Linked DNA regions of Drosophila melanogaster. Changing the gene in region 2 together with the main gene of any one other region gives a genetic interaction. Each region holds a gene or a part of one and is shown on either strand. Other genes may lie near its edges.

Region 1 (7,995 bases), 4.3 Mb from region 2:
TACATGCAGATGCAGCCGGTGACCTCCTCTGGTCACACTGTCCATTTTTAATTTTTTGTAATAGTAGAGTTTTTTTTATAACATTTTATCCGTCTTTTATGCAATATATTTAATTATTATTAGTAAGAGGCAATCCCACACAAACATGCAATCAGTACTCACCCGCTCGTTATGCATTGGTAAGACAAACTGATGTGTGGACTTTGAGCCCCAGCCATTTAAATGTTTTCTATAAGCAAGATCCTAAACCAGATATTGATATTCAGCCCGCAGATCTTTAAATGCTCGTCAAATTGCCTCATTGTCGGCGCTTTCGGAGACGCACCAGATGCTGCAGAAGTCCTGCCGGGACTTTGCCAACAATGAGCTCAGTGGAAACGCAGCCAAGTTCGATCGGGAGCACCTGTATCCAGAGAAACAGATCCGCCAGATGGGCGAACTGGGCGTGATGGCAGTAGCGATTCCCGAGGAGCTGGGTAATTAATATTACGCCCACCTCAGCCCTCCTTATAGTATCTCATTGTATCTCTTTATTGTTAATCAGGCGGCACTGGACTGGATTATGTGGCCTACGCCATTGCCATGGAGGAAATCTCAAGGGGCTGTGCCTCTGCTGGCGTCATCATGTCGGTGAACAACTCCCTGTATCTGGGACCGCTTCTCTCTTTCGGAAACGATGCCCAGAAGAAGGACTACATCACACCGTTTACCACCGGCGAACGAGTGGGCTGCTTCGCGCTCTCTGAACCTGGAAACGGATCCGATGCTGGAGCTGCTTCCACCATAGCAACCGACAAGGGAGATCACTTCGTGCTGAATGGCACCAAGGCCTGGATCACAAATGCCTTCGAGGCGGAGGCAGCCATTGTGTTCGCCACCACCAACAAGCAGCTGAAGCACAAGGGCATCTCCGCATTCATTGTGCCCAAGGCTACCAAGGGCTTCTCGCTGGGCAAAAAGGAGGATAAGCTGGGCATCCGGGGATCTTCGACGTGCCAGCTAATTTTCGAGGACTGCGTGGTGCCCAAGGAGAACATGCTGGGCGAGCCGGGTTTCGGTTTCAAGATTGCCATGCAGACGCTGGACGCCGGCCGCATAGGAATCGCTGGCCAGGCGCTGGGCATTGGTCAGGCTGCCCTCGAATTGGCCGTGGACTACGCCCAGAAGCGACAGGCCTTCGGCAAGCCCATTGCCAAGCTCCAGTCCATCCAGCAAAAGATCGCGGACATGTCGTTGGCCATGGAGTCGGCACGTCTGCTCACCTGGCGCGCCGCCTGGCTGAAGGACCAAAAGCAGCCCTACACCAAAGAAGCTGCAATGGCCAAGCTGGCTGCCTCGGAGGCGGCCACCTTGTGCTCCCACCAGTGTATCCAGATCCTGGGCGGAATGGGCTACGTGACCGACATGGCGGCCGAGCGTCATTACAGGGACGCCCGCATCACTGAGATCTACGAGGGCACCTCCGAAATCCAGCGACTGGTGATCGCGGGCTCCATTCTAAAGGAATATGCTAGTTAAGATCAAAGTTATATATCCGTACTACTTGTGTCTCGTTTAATAAAGAACGTTTTTAATATACTATTTTGCTAGTTCTATTGAGTTGTATAATTGTTTATAATAGATAGAAATACATGAAAAAAACACCTACAACATTTTAATTCTTTAGAAAAAGTTAGCAAAACAATAAATCTTCGTTCAAAAAGTAAAGTAAAATAAGTGAAACTCTTGACTACTTTTTAGACGTTGCATATTTGTAAATTAATTAAAATAATGAACCTTAAGTGCTTTTAAAATATATTTATAAACAAAGCTTATTATTTTATATGCCTAATTATATTATATCTTTTAAACCAAATTTTAAATGACTCAAAAAAATGGGAACTTGGCGCCAAAACTGCAGCAAGGCTTTGTCGGTTAGCATATTTGTGTGGTATTTTTGTGACTTCATTCGGTATATTGCTGGTAGCTGTGCAGCGGTCACACAGCAAAAGCAAAAAGTTTCTTTATTTATTTGATAATTATTCGTTACGCGGTAATTAACGCGATGCAAGTGCAGCAGGAACGTGGTAATGAGAGTTTTTGCCACTGAGCTGCGCGTGTCGGCCGTCCAGAAAGTGCAGAAATCGCGTGAAGTGCGCGAAATCCGTCCAAGAGCAGAAAAGTGCCAAGAATAGCTGCGATGGAAACAGCGATGGATGTGGTGTGTGTAATGGATACGGCGGTGGGCGACCATCTGGAGGACCGCCAGTGTGCGCTGGAGGAGATCAAGCAGGCAGTGCAGTCGGCGGGCGCCAACTTTCAGCGGGTTCAGGTGCGCCAGCTTGGTTATACAATGGCATATGGGTGATTTGACTTACATCCCCCCCACTTGGCATCCTTGCAGTTCGAGCGCCTGGACTTCGGCGAGACGAATGTGCTGGAGACGTTTTACAACGCCGATGTGGCCATTATCGACCTGAGCATTCTCACCCAGCAGCGGCCGCTTTCCTATCACTACGGCGTTAGGGAGAGCTTCGGGATGAAGGAGAACATCCTCACCTACAACGACATCGATTCCAAGCAGACGCTCAGTCTCAAGGTGCGTTCGGAAGTGTTTACCTGGCCGGGCGTGCCTGGCAAACATCTGCGTTCGTGATCGGGAATCCGCTTCCGATAAGATAAATGCTATGACCAGCAACTGCGTGGACTCCTGGACTAGTTGTTCTTGCTGATCTTTCTACAGTCGAGCTTCCACAACGCGAACTGAGTTTATAACAAGTCTCTAACCTAGGTGCTTAGACACCTCTTTCTGGAAAATGACTAAAAATTATTCTATCTACTAGTCTTCCTTTAGCAAATTGCAAAAGAAACCGAAAAACTTCCTCTTTCCAGAGGTTAATAACTAAAACCTCTTTCCCATATGGCAGCCAATAATTTGAACTATGGAAGTTCGACTGTATTTCCGTCGAATCGTTTTCGTTATTTTTGTTTTGGCTGCGGCCATAAAGCAACAAAAGCATTGGCCCAGCAATAACAATAACAAATGCGAGCACGCCCACGCAAACACTCAAAGAGGCACGCACACACTAACAGCACGGTGTACACCAACGCAGCGTGGCCTGCATTCACAGTGGCGGTCATTAAATTAGGTACACTCTACTCCCCTTGCAGCTCTCGTGTGCCAACTACCTGTTTCTCAGCTACAAGCGGAATGCGGAGACCAATTCCTGCCACCTGACCAGCCAGCCCAACAGCGGCAACAACAGCAAGGAACCCAATGCCGAAGGACGAGTGCCCACTTTGCAGTGGCGCCTCAAGCGAAAGCTGCAAGATGTTGAGATCCAGTCGAAGTGAGTACAATCTAGGGAGTCCCCTTTTGCAGTAAGTCATGCACGGTGATTGCATATCGGAACACTATTTATAACATCCCCTGCGGCAGATTGGCTGCAAAAGTCACGCCCTGCATCTAAAATGAATCAGACCGATTTATTGTGTTGGCCTTGGAATTGCATATAAAATATCAATAATCGCTGAAAATTCTTAAGTCTCTTTATAGTATCATAATTGTCCTTTCAATTTAAATTACTTCGAACTTTAGTGATACTACTACGGGTTAACAAGTAATGAAATGAAAGTAATTGAAATCTTAAATTTGGTGTACCAGATAGATGCTAAGTTAATTAGTCTTTCAGCCAGAGCACGAAACACTGTTCCTATTATGCATTATTTGTGTACCTAAAAACTAAACGAAGCTATTTTCGGTTATTTACAGAGCCCACATGCGTGAGAAATTTCTGAGTGACATGCGAACGGCGCGGGACACGTACGCCACCAACGGCGCCAAGCTGCAGAGTATATTGCACGAGATGCGAAAGCGGCTGGACGATCCGCATGTCCTGTCTGGCGAAGTGGTACACAGTTTCATGTGCTCGCTGAGGGATGTGCAGGACTACGATGCCATGGTGCGACTGGTCAATGACCTGAAGAACATACCCAACACCCGGAAGTACGTGGAGACGGGCAACATGAGTTTCCTGTACGCCTTCGCCCTGAACCGAAGAAATCGAAAGGGAGACCGTGAAAAGGCTCTGGAATCTTCGCTGAAGGCGCTGGAAAAGAAGGAGAACCACTTTCCGGACATGCTCTGCCTGTGCGGCCGCATCTACAAGGACATCTTTGTGGAATCCGACTACACGGACGCCACCAGTTTGGCGCACGCCATCAAGTGGTACCGCCAAAGCTTTGAGGTGCAGCCGAATGAGTATGCAGGCATCAATCTGGCTACTCTGCTGGTTATCGAGGGCAAGGAGTTTACCAATACGGAGGAGTTGCAGCACATCGGCATGACCTTAAACAATTTAATCGGTAAAAAGGGCAGCCTATCCTCGCTGAGTGAGTATTGGGATGTGGCCACCTTCTTTGAGATCTCCGTTTTGGCCAACGACTACGCCAAGGCGATTCAAGCTGCCGAGTGCATGTTCAAGCTAAAGCCACCCAACTGGTATCTGAAGTCGACCATCGGAAATATCTCTCTTATACATCGATTTCGAAAGAAGCCCGAGGAACGCCAGCCGCCCATCGAGGAGCAGGTGTTCCAGTTCTGGATGGACTTCTTTCTGGAGGCCACCAACACCGAGGAGGTTAAGAACAGCATTCGCTTTCCGATTCTGGTTGGTACCCCTGATCTGCAGTTTAAGCTTTATTATTAACTCAAAACAAATTCCAGATCCTCGAGCCTCAGAAGATTTATATGCCCAGTTATGTGACTATAAACATGGATGCGGATGAGAAGTCCATTCAGATTGTGAACATCTGTTTGGCTCACGCAAAGAATGCGTGTAAGAAAATCCACGACTTCCTTTTCGTGGCATCGAAGATCAAGTCCGTCAGCCTTTACAAGAGGGATGATCGTTGTGCCTACTTGTACGTCCATCACAACTCAGATGATTTTCAAATATATTTTCCCTCCACTGAACGACGACAAAAGTTCTACGATATGATCCTGGAGATGACTGCAGATCAGGTGGTGTTTGTCAATCTCAGCAATGATGACGCTAATATCGAGGTAAGTTATTTATTATTCATATATACATATATTCCGGCCACTTTTGCTAATTATTATTAATTGTAGTACGAGTACGACTACGATGAGCAGAATCGCAAAATGGTGCTGGGCAAAGGTACTTATGGCACCGTGTACGCCGCCAGGGACAAGCAGACGCAGGTGCGAATCGCCATTAAGGAGGTGCCGGAAAAGAACTCGCAGGATGTGCAGCCACTGCACGAGGAGATTAAGTTACACTCTCAGCTGCGACATCGCAACATAGTTCGCTATTTGGGATCGTGCTCGGAGAACGGCTTCTTCAAGATCTTCATGGAGCAGGTGCCGGGAGGATCGCTTTCCGACCTCTTAGAGACCAAATGGGGTCCGCTCAAGGACAACGAGTCCACCATGGCCTTCTACTCCAAGCAGATCCTCGAGGGGCTGAAGTACCTTCACGAGCAGGACATTGTTCATCGCGATATAAAGGGTGACAACGTGCTGGTTAACACGTATAGCGGCGTGGTTAAGATCTCCGATTTCGGCACCTCCAAGCGGCTGGCCCGCATCAACCCGATGACGGAGACCTTTACGGGCACCTTGCAGTACATGGCGCCGGAGGTGATTGACCAGGGAGTACGCGGCTATGGCCCGGCGGCTGACATCTGGTCCTTTGGATGCACAAACGTTGAGATGGCTACGGGCAAACCACCGTTTATCGAGCTGGGTAGCGCCCATGCGGCCATGTTCAAGGTGGGCTTTTACAAGAAGCATCCGAACATACCCGAGGAGCTGTCCGCCAACGCAAAGAACTTTATTTTGCGTTGCTTTGCCATCAGCGTGATGGACCGACCCTCCGCCTCGCAACTTCTGGAAGATCCCTTCCTACAAGAGTGAGTTTGCTTAATTGTTTTGCCTAATTCCTTTCTAATTGCACTTTTAATTTTCTCAATAAGTAAACCCCGCAAGGTGCGCCCAGCCCTGCCCATCAATACTGAGTTCGGACGCAGCATTTCGGTGCCGGCTGATCGGTTTGTGCACAAAACCACACCGCCGCTGAGCTACAACACAACCTGCAATACGCCCACAACGCCGGAATTGGAGTAAGTTAAACGCTGCGACTATTCTTATCATGTTCGACCTTCCTCAATTACAAGCAGAGGTTATCTTATCTGTTGAAAATTATCATTTATATTTTGCTAATTTTAATGAATATAAAAATTTTTCCGTGCTTCTCTATATTTTCCCATATCGTCTACTATTATAAGAGTAACAAGTGCCTTTGCTTATCGTGTAGTTAACACATTGATTGTTGCTATCAGTAAAGTGCATATTTAATGATTGGAAAATGCGCACTCGGATTTTGATACTGAGAAGAGATAGCACTTGATGTATTGTAAAATAAACGTAATTTTATATTGTACTTTCTGTTTCCTATTTCAGCATAACGCATTCATCCTCGGTGGACATTGACGAGCTGCCCAGCAACCAGTTTATGCTTGAACGGCGAAATTCCCATGGATTTTTGCTCTCGCCAGAGATTGAACCTTCCACGCCGTCCTTGCGTACGAGCATTAGTGAGACGAGCGAGACTGACGGTTTTTACAGGCTTAAAAAGGATTCGCAGAGGCGGACAACGCTTTCCAAGGTGCTGGCACTAGACGAATCCAAGATCTGCGATATTTGGCTGAAGAAGGTCGACGCTGATCAGAACTCGATTGCGATTAGGAAAAGCGATTTGGAGGTTCTAATCCGAGGACTGCGGGACTACATTATGAACGAAAACGAAAAGCATTTGGAAGCGACTATCAACGAACTGAAACAAAAGCTGAACAACGACGCAGTTGCTCTGGACCATCTTCATTTGGCGCTGTACTCCTTTCAGGACGCCGTGGTCTGCGTACTGCGGTACCATTGCATCAAACCCCATTGGATGTTCGCATTGGATAATCTGGTTAAGCGGGCCGTCCAGGCGGCGGTCACTATTTTCTCTCCTGAACTGGGCGCCAATCTGGCGGACAAAGACCTGTCTGGAAATGATGATGAGAGCTTGCGTACAAGTCTAATGCAGAAGGGTTCCACCGAGAGCCAGGAAAAGCAGAGCCTGGAAAAAGTTCTTCCCACGAGCAACACTCGCGAAGGTGTGGGATTAACGCCTGCGGAATCGGGCGGGGATGCTCTGTCCAGTTCGATGGAGTGCGCGCGCATCCTGAGAGACATCCGTGACAATCAGCAGAAGCTGCAACGCCAGCTCCTTGAGCAGCAGCGGCAGAGCATGAGGGCCCTGCATAATATCAGTCAGGAGCTGGCTCACATTTACATGGGCGGCAGAAAGAGATTAAGGTTGGTAAACCAAGTAGGACATTGTAAATTTTATTATAATTCACAATTTCATCTTAACAGACGCACAATAAACGGCTTTAACAAAAAGTGCCATAGAATGAGTACCAGTGTGGGCGGAACGTCCGGAGTCCGTCCGAATATAGCGGGCAATCCCCGGAGGCAGCTAAACAAGCATCACTTTGGTCTTCACGAAGTAGACGAGCAGTTGGAGCAGTGGTTGACCCAGCAGGAAATAGACGAGTTCTCAAAGACGCTCATCCTGAATGAAGGTTTTACATTTGACGACTTTATCTATAACATGGAAAAGCTGGACCTCATGAGGCTGGGTCTGCGGTGCGTTAAAGCTTATAAGAAAAGTACACTTAATCCATGCTCAACTAACTTTTGGTATTTTGCAGCGTTGGCATCGAAGTGCGTTTGTGGAAACTCATTATACAAGAACGTGTGTGCACCTCGTCCGATTGTGTGGACAGTCCACCAAGCACTTACCACAAACCCATTGGAGGCAATAGCTCTTTTGCGCTTATTGACAACAACAATACGCTACCATCACCCACAACCACAACTCCCGGAACGCCGGGCATCAAAACGAAAATCAAGAAAAGCGAAAGCGAGTACGATTCGTGCAGCGA
Region 2 (4,305 bases):
ATCCTAATCTCTTGATCGCTCATCCTTTTCGAACGCGAGTACCTGTGCAAATCCGCGTCCATCAGGTGAGTCACCAAATAAACCTGCTGAAATTCCATCATGTTGTGCGCTGGTGGATGGAAGACGTTCAGCAGGCTGATAACATTTCGATGATTCATGTGCTTCAGCAGACGGATCTCGCGATAGGTACCCTTAGCATCCTCCTCCCTCTCGAATGGGCGCATAAGCCTTTTCATAGCGAAGTAATTTTCAGTGCCTCGTAGTCTCACCTTAGCCACCTGGCCAAAGGAACCGCCACCCAGAAAACGAACGAACTCGTATATATCCGGGAACTCCCAAAGGCTTTCGTTAATTGCCACTCTCACGAACTCCGGCATTCTGGATTAAATGTGCAAAAATATGTCTTCTACGAAAGGAAACAGAAAGAAAACTGAGCTTGCATTTAGTCACCCGCTAAACTCTTATCTTTTCTCAACACCTTATCTATCAGTGCACATTCGACTGACAGAACACTAAACTTGTTCGATTCAGTCATCTGTATGACCGGAGATACACACATATGCTATAGACCCAAAGATCCTGCCCAAGAGGTGACAAAAATAAGGTTTTTAGTTGAATAACTTGATGTTTTTATAAAACAAATTTTTTGTTAAATAAGCAGTAAGCAGCAAAAAAACAAAATAAAAAGTTAACACTAAGAATTGATAAATTTGAGTACAAAAGACATGGTTGGAACATAAAGGCTATAACAAATAAATTGGCCTATGTAATACTTTAAATTCTTGATGGTTTGTGTTCACTTTACATCCTTTAGAACCTGAGCATACGATGGTGGGGGCTTAAAGTTGGTGACCTCCTTGTAGATCAATTCCTTCCATTTGTCTACGGGCAAATCCATATCCTCGAAGCTGTGATCGTATGGTGGTGAGGTCTGCTCGACGCTGGGCTCCGCATACTTCTCCAGATATGGATGGGAAAGAGCCTCCTCGGCTGTGATCCGCTTTTCGGCATCTAGCTCCAACATCTTTTCCAGCAAATCAATGGCCAGCGGATTGGCGTTCTTAAAAACATTTTTAAAACTTCGTCCCTTCATAGGCGGAAGTGACTGGATGTAGGAACGTGCACTTTCCGATGAGATCTTCTTCAAAAATTCGGCGGGTGGCGTGCCCAACATCTCCATAATCAGGTTTAGCTGGTGAATATGGTCGGTGCCTGGGAAGAGGGTTCGTCTGGTAATTAGTTCGGCCATGATGCAGCCCACCGACCAGATGTCCACTGTTTGGTCGTAGTGCATCCAATTGAGCATTATTTCAGGTGCCCGGTACCAACGCGTGGCCACATAGCCTGTCATCTCGTTCTCCGTTGGGCGGGCCAGCCCGAAGTCTAGAATGCGCAGCTCGCAATCCTCGTTGACGGCAATGTTTGAGGGCTTAAGATCACGGTGGATCACTCCGGCGCTGTGGATATACTTCAAGCCACGGAGTATCTGGTAGACTAAAAACTGGACGTGGTCGTCGGACAAGTGCTGCATCCGTATGATGTTGTTCAGATCTGCGTCCATCAAGTGGGTAACCAAGTACACCTGTTGGAAGTTCTCCAGCGATCCATTAGCGGGATGTGGATGGAATATGTCCAGCAGACCGATTACGTTCTCATGATCCATATGCTTTAAAAGTCGAAGCTCCCGGTACGTCCTCTTTGCATGGACAGCTGATTGAAAAGGCCTGGCAAGCTTTTTAATGGCCACATGCATATTGGTGCCACGAACAACTGCCTTTGACACCTGTCCGTAAGCTCCCGATCCCACGGGCTGCAGATCCTGGTATATATCCGGGATCTCCCATTCCGTTCGATTTATATCCAACTTGTAAAACTTTTTTGTAATGGACACTGACATGGTATTGCTTGAGGAAGGGCGTCGTCACCTTAGTTAATGGTGCCTATAAGCGAGATATGTATTGATTCTTAAAATGCCATGCGAACGATAATTCCATGCTGATTACGTTTATCTTGAGGCAGCTCTGCGTCAGTAGTACTTACCTCTGTTCCACGCCCAAGAATATCAACAACTAAGTACTGGTCCCTGGCATTTTTCCTATATTTGCGCTATTACTCCATTCCGATGCGTGTTAGGCATTCATGAATCAGATCGTCAGTGGATCAGATCGATCAGAAGCGACACACGAATGCGCTACATTTGATCAGAGTAAAGTTGTTAAAATCATTTTTGGCACGATATTAAAAAAAATCCTTAATATATAAGTAAATAAATAAAATAATATATTAACCATATCATTGCATTGTAACAAGTCTCTTTTTCCACTCTTATCGATGTCCTTAAATGTGAATAAAGGGATTAAAATTAAATAATTTTGTTAGTTTTTAATAATATTCTAAAAATTAGGTAATATAATATATTTTTAAAGCCCATATACCGTAAAATTTGGAGTGTAGAGCGTTTAAATGAAAATAAACACACGGCGTTGCCAGACCGTCAGCTGACAGTTCAATAAGAATTTATCGAATAAGTATTTGAATCAGCTGTCTCTTGTTTTTCCTGCAAATTTGAGCAGCACCATCCCCTGACCCATTTTTTGTTGCACTTTTGGTGTACTTTGAATGAAAAATAGTCAGAGACACTACTCGCGCCTGCGCAGTTTCAACGCCGGGGTTATCAAATAAGCTAATCTAATCGTTCCGTAAACGCAGCCTGACATTCCGCCCTACCATTCTCCGACGAACAGTTAGTTTCGCACGCAAGCCGCTCCCGCTCGCATCGTAACCTAGAAAACTTTAGCGTATGTACATAAGTAAATTGACGAGTTTATCTGAATGATACTGAATATATTAGCGGTATAAAAGATAAACATTACATGGTTTAACGAGTGTTCGCTTGAAAGCCTAAATGTTAGACCGCAGGGGAGCTGGAAGAAGCCACTTCAACCGCTGTGAACTGCGACCTTTGGAACCTGGACTGGCAAACATGCAGATTTTCTGTAGTCCACTATCTCAGATAGCGGGAACATTGTTAACATCGATGGCATGTTCAGCACAAGTAAAAGATCTGCGAACCGAATGCGATTAGATAGTCCGGGGGGTTCAAAGTATGGTTTGAAGGGTTGCTATAACTTCAACCCCTGAACCGTTTTTCTTTTAATATTTTCGAGGAAAACTTCACACTCCCCAAAGGCGTGTATAATTTTTGGTAGATAACCCACAGTTCGTTATCTTCCATTATAGCTCATCATAAAATGCAAAACTATCATGTTTCTTTCTCTTTGCAGACACAAAATGACTTCAAAGCTACTGCCCGGAAACATTGTGTACGGAGGTCCTGTGACTGAACGACAGGCCCAGGATAGCAGATCCTTGGGTCAGTACATCCTCGACAAGTACAAGAGCTTTGGCGACCGGACGGTGCTGGTGGATGCCGTCAATGGAGTGGAGTACTCTGCCAGTTTCATGCACAAGTCCATTGTACGGCTGGCATACATCCTTCAAAAACTGGGAGTCAAACAGAATGACGTCGTTGGTTTGTCTAGCGAAAACAGCGTCAACTTCGCCCTGGCCATGTTCGCTGGTCTAGCAGTTGGGGCTACGGTTGCTCCCCTTAACGTAACATATTCCGATCGTGAGGTGGACCACGCCATTAACTTGTCCAAGCCAAAGATCATATTCGCCTCTAAGATTACCATTGATCGTGTTGCCAAAGTGGCCAGCAAGAATAAGTTCGTCAAGGGCATCATTGCGCTCAGTGGAACTTCCAAGAAATTTAAGAACATCTATGATCTTAAGGAGCTGATGGAGGACGAGAAGTTCAAGACACAGCCTGACTTCACGAGCCCTGCGGCCAATAAGGACGAGGACGTGTCTCTTATTGTGTGCTCTTCTGGAACCACCGGACTTCCTAAAGGAGTGCAGCTGACCCAAATGAACCTGCTGGCCACTCTCGACTCACAAATGTAAGTTTAATAATATGCTATAAAGGCGTTTCTTTTAAATGATTTTTCTTTAATAGCCAACCCACTGTCATTCCAATGGAGGAGGTCACTCTACTCACTGTCATTCCCTGGTTCCACGCCTTCGGCTGTCTGACGCTTATCACCACCGCCTGCGTTGGCGCACGATTGGTATACCTGCCCAAGTTCGAGGAAAAGCTCTTCCTTTCTGCCATTGAAAAGTATCGCGTGATGATGGCCTTCATGGTGCCACCACTGATGGTCTTTTTGGCTAAACACCCCATCGTGGATAAGTACGATTTGTCCTCTTTGATGGTCCTGCTGTGTGGAGCAGCTCCACTCAGTC
Region 3 (6,349 bases), on a different chromosome or scaffold from region 2:
GTCCACCTCCTGTCCAAGTAAAGTTATTCCACATCCCATGTTTTCGTGCTTCTTACCTTCCCGCACTTGACAGCTCCTTCGGCATTGCGGTTCTCTTCATCCTGGTGTCCTGTCTGCTGCACCTCGTGGCTACGGCCTACTTCCTCTTTCTGGAACTGCTCAGCAAGCGGGATAACGGCTACCTGTGGGTGCAGATGCTCTGGATTTGCTTTCACTTCCTGCGACTGCTCATGGTGGTGGAGCCGTGCCACTTGGCTGCCCGAGAGTCCCGTAAAACGATCCAGATTGTTTGCGAAATCGAGCGGAAAGTGCACGAGCCCATTCTCGCGGAGGCAGTTAAGAAGTTTTGGCAGCAGTTACTCGTCGTAGATGCTGACTTCTCCGCCTGCGGATTGTGCCGCGTGAACCGCACCATTCTGACATCGGTAAGGATTTAGACTACACTTAAATAATATCCATGTATTATTCTAATGCTATCTGGTTGCAGTTTGCATCCGCCATAGCCACCTATCTCGTGATTCTCATTCAGTTTCAACGGACCAATGGCTAAAGTTATACAAAAAGTGGCTTGTTTTTTATTAACACTATTAACTAAACGGAGTTCTTGGATATTATTGATCTGTTAAAGTGTCTATGTGCTTGAATCAAGTTAGCAAACAATAAAAAGCAAACGGGTTATTTTTCTTAGAACTTGCTAAAATTCACACACTCTTATCCATGATCCATTCTCCATCATATTACAACTAGCCATACTCTGGGGGGACTTAGAAACCCTTCTGGTACTGCTTGGTCTCCAACCGCTGTTGCAACAACTCCAGCTGTCGTTTCGCCTCGCACTGGGGGAAGTTGTTCAAGTCATAATATTGGGGCGCCAGGCAGCACAACCATTCAGCTATAAATGTAAGAAATGCTTACAAAAATGACCCTGAAATGCGGAAGTTGCTACTCACGTTTGACATCTGTCACCGTGCGAATGTAGTTCTTTGTAGTCAGCACGAACTCATTGTAGATGACCCAATCGGGCTTGTGGTCGAGACAAGTCGACGGATGCAGCTGCACGTTCTGGTTGTCCTTGATGGTCAGATAGTAGCCAGTGCGCTCCAGGTGGGCCACCTGCATGAAGAAGCCCTGCACGAGGGCCTTTCGGATGTTTACATAGTAGTCCTTCGAGGTGAATTCAGTGCTCGTGCGCCGCAAGTTGAAGCGGTCCATGATTCTAGCCAGCTGCTGGCGCACGTTATCCGCACTCTTTAGCGAGCGGAAGTTTATGAAGTTCTCGTAGCACCAGTTTGGATCCTCACTGCCTGAAAGAAATAAAGAAATATGTCTTTATGTTTCCATTTCGAGTATAGGTTGGTTTAGTTTACTTACTCTGCTTAAAGGCGTGATAGACATTAAGCAACGTCAGGTGGTCTCCGTCAATGTGGGCGAATCGCATCTTGGCCTCATCGGCAGCTTTCTTCGCCTCGTTGGGGCGAACGAAGCATTGTGGAACTTTGGCACGTTTGAATTGGTTTAGTTTCGATTAAGCGCAAGTTCAAAACAATTTTTAACATAAACAAATAGATTGTGCTTTCATTTTGTCAGCTAGGCAATCTAGAGGCTTGATTCAAAGATTGATTGCATTTGTGAGTTGCAAGTGCGTTCGCGGAACATTAAAAGATAAAAACACTATTTATTCGGGCATATTTTGCACATCAATCCATTCAAATAATGGGCTTGGACTTTTAAACGCATGTGCAACTTTTCTTTTCGAGTTGAATGCAAAGAACAAATAAATTGAAAAACTTTTTCCTTTGCATTGTTGCTTAAGAAATTACATAAATCCCTTCAAGAATATAGAATATACTTCCCCGAAACCTCAGACTTTCAATTTATAACGTAGAAAGTATTCACGGCAGCCACTTTAACGGAAATAAATGAAAGTATGCATCGGCACAAATCGAAATTAGGTACAAGTCGTATTTACGTATTTGAAAAACGAAAAGTGACAGCCATGAAAGTATAAGTGCGACCCCCAACTTATCGAAGACAGTTTCTTAGATTTGTGTTTTATCTCACCCGACAACATGGCCGTTATGGAAAGTATTTCATTAGAGCAGTTATGTTGGCAGCTGGCAATCAGCATTTTGGCCAGCTGCGGATCCAATGGAAACTCGGACATAACGGCACCCAGGTCTGTAAGATTTCCGTCATCATCCAGGGCGGCCAGATAGTTGAGCAACTCCAGGGCACGCATCAAGGTCTCTGGAGCAGGGGGGTCCATAAAATCGAAATGCACCAGATCATCGATGCCCAACTTCTTGAGCTGCAGAACCACAGTGCCTGCTCAAAAATAAGAAACAAGATATTAGAAATCGAGTAATACTTCCAGGGGATCTAGGCATTACCCAAATTGGAGCGCAGAATTTCGGGGTAGGTGTTGTCCTGCATCTCGTTTTTAAACGCCTTTTCCGTGTACAGACGGAAACACTTGCCAGGACGCGTACGTCCAGCACGACCGGATCTCTGCTGCGCAGACGCTTTTGAAATGGGTGAGACGAGCAGACTCTCCACTCGAATGCGAGGATTGTACACCTTTTGCTTGGCGAAGCCTGGATCAATCACGAACACCACTCCGTCAATGGTCAGCGAGGTTTCGGCAATGTTGGTGGACACCACGACCTTGCGTCCAATTGCGCCATTAGCATTTGGCGGCGGGGCCGGTTCGAAGATGCGCTGCTGCAAATTGGGCGGCAGCGTCGAGTACAGGGGAATGCATTTCAGCTCTCCAATTTCTGAGCCCAAATTGTCGATCTCGCGCTTGATGCGCTTGCAAGCCTCCTCAATCTCCTCCTGGCCCGTGAGGAACATTAGGATATCACCTAGAGTAGCAAAATCAAGTTGGGGTTTAGTTTACAATGGAAAAAGCGAATGCGTCTTTTCCGGCATTGAATAGGATCATATTCAAAAGTCGTAAACACTTGAATGATTACAATACCATTAAAGCAAATACGAAGCATTTGCCGCCCTTCGGCACTCGGAAAGTTTATATTTTGCCTGGCACTTTTACATTGTAAACATATGATCGATAAATGCTTCTTAGAACAATGAACTAGCAAGCTATTAAATGAACTCCAAGCTAAACTCATTTACCAACTTACCCTCAATTTCCTCGCACATGTGTATCTGGATTACCGTGCGAATAGCAGCCTCTAGGTAATCTCTTTCTGGTTCGGGCGTGTAGAAGATCTCCACGGGATGTGTGCGACCGGGCACTTTCATGAGCGGTGCGTTGTCGAAATACTGCTGGAACTTGCCGGCGTCCAGTGTGGCGGACATGACCACCAGCTTAAGGTCGCTGCGCTGACGAATGACCTCCTTGAGCACGCCCATTAGAATGTCAGTGGCCAAGGTCCGCTCGTGAGCCTCGTCAAGCAGAATGACCTGGTACTGGTCCAGCATGGGATCAGACATGGCCTCGCGCAACAACATACCATCGGTCATGTACTTGAGCAGCGTCTTGGCCGTGGAGCAGTCCTCGAAACGGATGGAGTAGCCGACCTCTTCGCCCAGTTTTACGTCCATCTCCTCCGAAACGCGCTGGGCCACGGACATGGCGGCAACTCGACGTGGCTGTGTGCAGGAGACTCCCTTGCGCCCCTTGGATACTGCGAAGTCCACGCACCACTGCGGGATCTGGGTCGTCTTGCCGGAGCCAGTCTCGCCCACCAGCACAATACACTGGTGCAGGCTGAGCAGCCGCATAAAGTCCGCCTGGTACTCGAACACGGGCAGCGCAATGCGCTTCTTGTAGAGATTCTGGTACCGTTGTGAGTACGGCGTGTTGGTCAGCGGGTTCATCGTGGGCGGTTGCTTGTTGGGCACGAATCCGCCCAGGATTTGAGCCACTGTGCCGGCAGCGGCTGCCGCCGACGAGGAGGACGCCTCCGGGTCCCTGGTGAGAAAGGAGCGTTACATTACTGCCGTATGTTGGCCTCGGGTCACTTACTTCTTCGCCTTGCTGCCGTAGGTCTCCCCCACTTCGATTCGACGCTTGGACATGCTAATTTATGGTGATTACTGCACTTAATTCTCAAAACGAAGCGTTTAGCACAAAAAAAAACACGCGCTCAGTGAGACCTTTAGCATATACCGACCATGCTGATCGCAACTTTTAAAATACCAAAGTTTACTGTCTGTGTATACTATATAAGCCCATGGTTAGCGAAGATCACAACCAACAGCACGGCAGCAATTTGGCATTTAAAAAAAAACAGCAGTTCAAGCTTAAGTCTTTTGACGAGAATCTATCTATAGAATTCGGTTTTACTCACCAGTTTGAAGAATAGTTGTGAGCTCACAGTCTTAAAATTGACATTTGACAGCAATTTGATTGGAAACTGATTTTGATTTTTACAGTAACAAACTGTTACATGGATTCGGTATTTTCGGCTTGGGTTGGCGCTTTAGCGTCGGCCACACTATCACATTGTATCGATTCGGAGGGAGTTGAATTTTTGCACGTATTTGAAAGCGCAAAGATGCGAAACAAAGAGCAGGATATCGAATGAAAGAGCTCCTGCGAGACCAGGACTAGTTGCCTAACCACCATGGAAATACCCATTCAGGTAGCGGTGCGCATCTTCCCGCATAGAGAGCTCAAGGACTTGTTGAGGAGCTTCGGCCCCACAGAGCCCAAAAAGGATGCGCAGGCGGTGGATGAGGGGGCGGACTCCAAGGACTCCGAGGCTCAAGTTCCGGCGGCTGAGAAGGACAATCCGTCAATTTCAGAGACGGACCCAAACGGGAATGCTGAGCAGGACAGTGCGGCCGATTCGAAGACAATTCCAGATGCCAATGGCAACGACAGTGGTCAGAAGGATTACCCAGACTCCGCATATTGCGTTCAGGCTATTCCCATCAGCGCTTCGGCCCTGGGATTGCCCAGTGCCCTGCCAGGCGGAGATCCCATGGACAGCATTGCAGCTGGACTGATACAAGTCGGTCCCCACACGGTTCCGGTCACCCACGCCCTGCCCAGCAGCAGCTCCCAGGAGCAAGTGTACCACCAGACGGTCTTTCCGCTCATCACCCTGTTCCTGGAAGGTTTCGACGCATCTGTAGTCACCTATGGCCAGAGGGGCCAGGGCAAAAGCTACACACTCTACGGAAACGTCCAGGACCCTACTCTGACGGATTCCACCGAAGGAGTCGTCCAACTTTGTGTCCGTGACATTTTCTCACACATATCGTTGCACCCAGGTGAGTTTACTAAAAGGATCTTATAAGCATAGTTATCCATTTCCATTTTCACTTTAAGAACGCACCTATGCCATCAACGTGGGATTCGTGGAAATTTGCGGAGGTGATGTCTGCGACTTGTTGGGCATGGGAAACATACACTGCACCAACGTAGATGCCGTCTTCCACTGGTTGCAGGTGGGTCTGTCGGCCCGCCAATCGTTGCCGGCGCACACCCTGTTCACGCTTACCCTGGAGCAGCAGTGGGTGTCCAAGGAGGGGCTGTTGCAGCACCGCTTGTCCACGGCCAGTTTCTCGGATCTCTGCGGCACAGAGAGATGTGGAGACCAGCCACCGGGACGTCCTCTCGATGCTGGCCTGTGTATGCTGGAGCAGGTGATCAGTACTCTCACAGATCCAGGCCTCATGTACGGGGTTAATGGCAACATTCCGTACGGTCAGACCACGCTCACCACTCTCCTGAAGGACTCGTTCGGCGGACGGGCTCAGACGCTCGTGATCCTGTGCGTGTCACCGCTGGAAGAGCACTTGCCCGAAACTCTTGGCAACCTGCAGTTCGCCTTTAAGGTGCAGTGCGTACGTAATTTTGTAATTATGAACACCTACTCCGACGACAACACGATGATCGTTCAGCCGGCTGAGCCTGTTCCCGAATCCAATTCCTCTGCTGGACCCTTGTCGCAGGCGGGACCAGGGGACAACTTTGGCCTACAATTCGCAGCAAGCCAATGGTCCAAACTAGTTACCAACGCCGAGGGGCTATTTTCCAAGTAAGTGTACACATTATTTCCGATGTGGGCCTTTTGACGACAAAAGAAATTTATAGGCTGATAGACTCCAAGCTAATTACTGAAGTGGAGAAGGAGCAGATCGAGGAGTGGCTCTTCCTCAAGCAGGAGTGCGAGGAGTGTCTCAGCTCAACAGAGGCTATGCGTCAGCAAAAACAGTTGGTTCCCATTCTGGAGGCCGAGGAGCCCGAGGACGTGAATTCTGAAGCAGCCAATTCGGAGTCGCCAAACTCCGACAACGAAAACGACACAGACAATGAGTCGCATCGGCCCGATCTGGACGACAAGATAGAAAGTCTAATGGAAGAGTTTCGCGA

The links.
Region 1: of p38a (region 2) and Ask1, changing one suppresses a phenotype caused by changing the other (phenotypic suppression), as found in Drosophila melanogaster (one study listed by BioGRID).
Region 3: of p38a (region 2) and Dhx15, changing one suppresses a phenotype caused by changing the other (phenotypic suppression), as found in Drosophila melanogaster (one study listed by BioGRID).

The regions. Positions count from the first base shown.
Region 1 is NT_033777.3:19,877,733-19,885,727, forward strand, and holds the start of Ask1 (apoptotic signal-regulating kinase 1), read left to right. Parts: upstream 1-1,986; 5' UTR 1,987-2,191; coding exon 2,192-2,311; intron 2,312-2,383; coding exon 2,384-2,578; exon of another isoform or gene 2,579-3,150; coding exon 3,151-3,329; intron 3,330-3,751; coding exon 3,752-4,649; intron 4,650-4,705; coding exon 4,706-5,044; intron 5,045-5,110; coding exon 5,111-5,913; intron 5,914-5,976; coding exon 5,977-6,123; intron 6,124-6,463; coding exon 6,464-7,363; intron 7,364-7,423; coding exon 7,424-7,696; intron 7,697-7,761; coding exon 7,762-7,995. Other genes in the region: Arc42 (Activator-recruited cofactor subunit 42), read left to right, coding at 146-179, 267-476, 545-1,518.
Region 2 is NT_033777.3:24,149,806-24,154,110, forward strand, and holds p38a (p38a MAP kinase), read right to left. Parts: upstream 2,517-4,305; 5' UTR 2,436-2,516; intron 2,337-2,435; 5' UTR 2,289-2,336; intron 2,192-2,288; 5' UTR 2,041-2,191; intron 1,965-2,040; 5' UTR 1,898-1,964; coding exon 797-1,897; 3' UTR 611-796; downstream 1-610. Other genes in the region: p38c MAP kinase, read right to left, coding at 1-377; CG6178 (uncharacterized protein), read left to right, coding at 3,292-3,962, 4,019-4,305.
Region 3 is NT_033778.4:7,385,223-7,391,571, reverse strand, and holds Dhx15 (DEAH-box helicase 15), read right to left. Parts: upstream 4,386-6,349; 5' UTR 4,045-4,385; coding exon 3,992-4,044; intron 3,938-3,991; coding exon 3,144-3,937; intron 2,865-3,143; coding exon 2,391-2,864; intron 2,326-2,390; coding exon 2,062-2,325; intron 1,495-2,061; coding exon 1,372-1,494; intron 1,305-1,371; coding exon 951-1,304; intron 893-950; coding exon 765-892; 3' UTR 551-764; downstream 1-550. Other genes in the region: Gr43a (gustatory receptor 43a), read left to right, coding at 1-17, 74-425, 488-550; cos (costa), read left to right, coding at 4,593-5,244, 5,303-6,014, 6,071-6,349.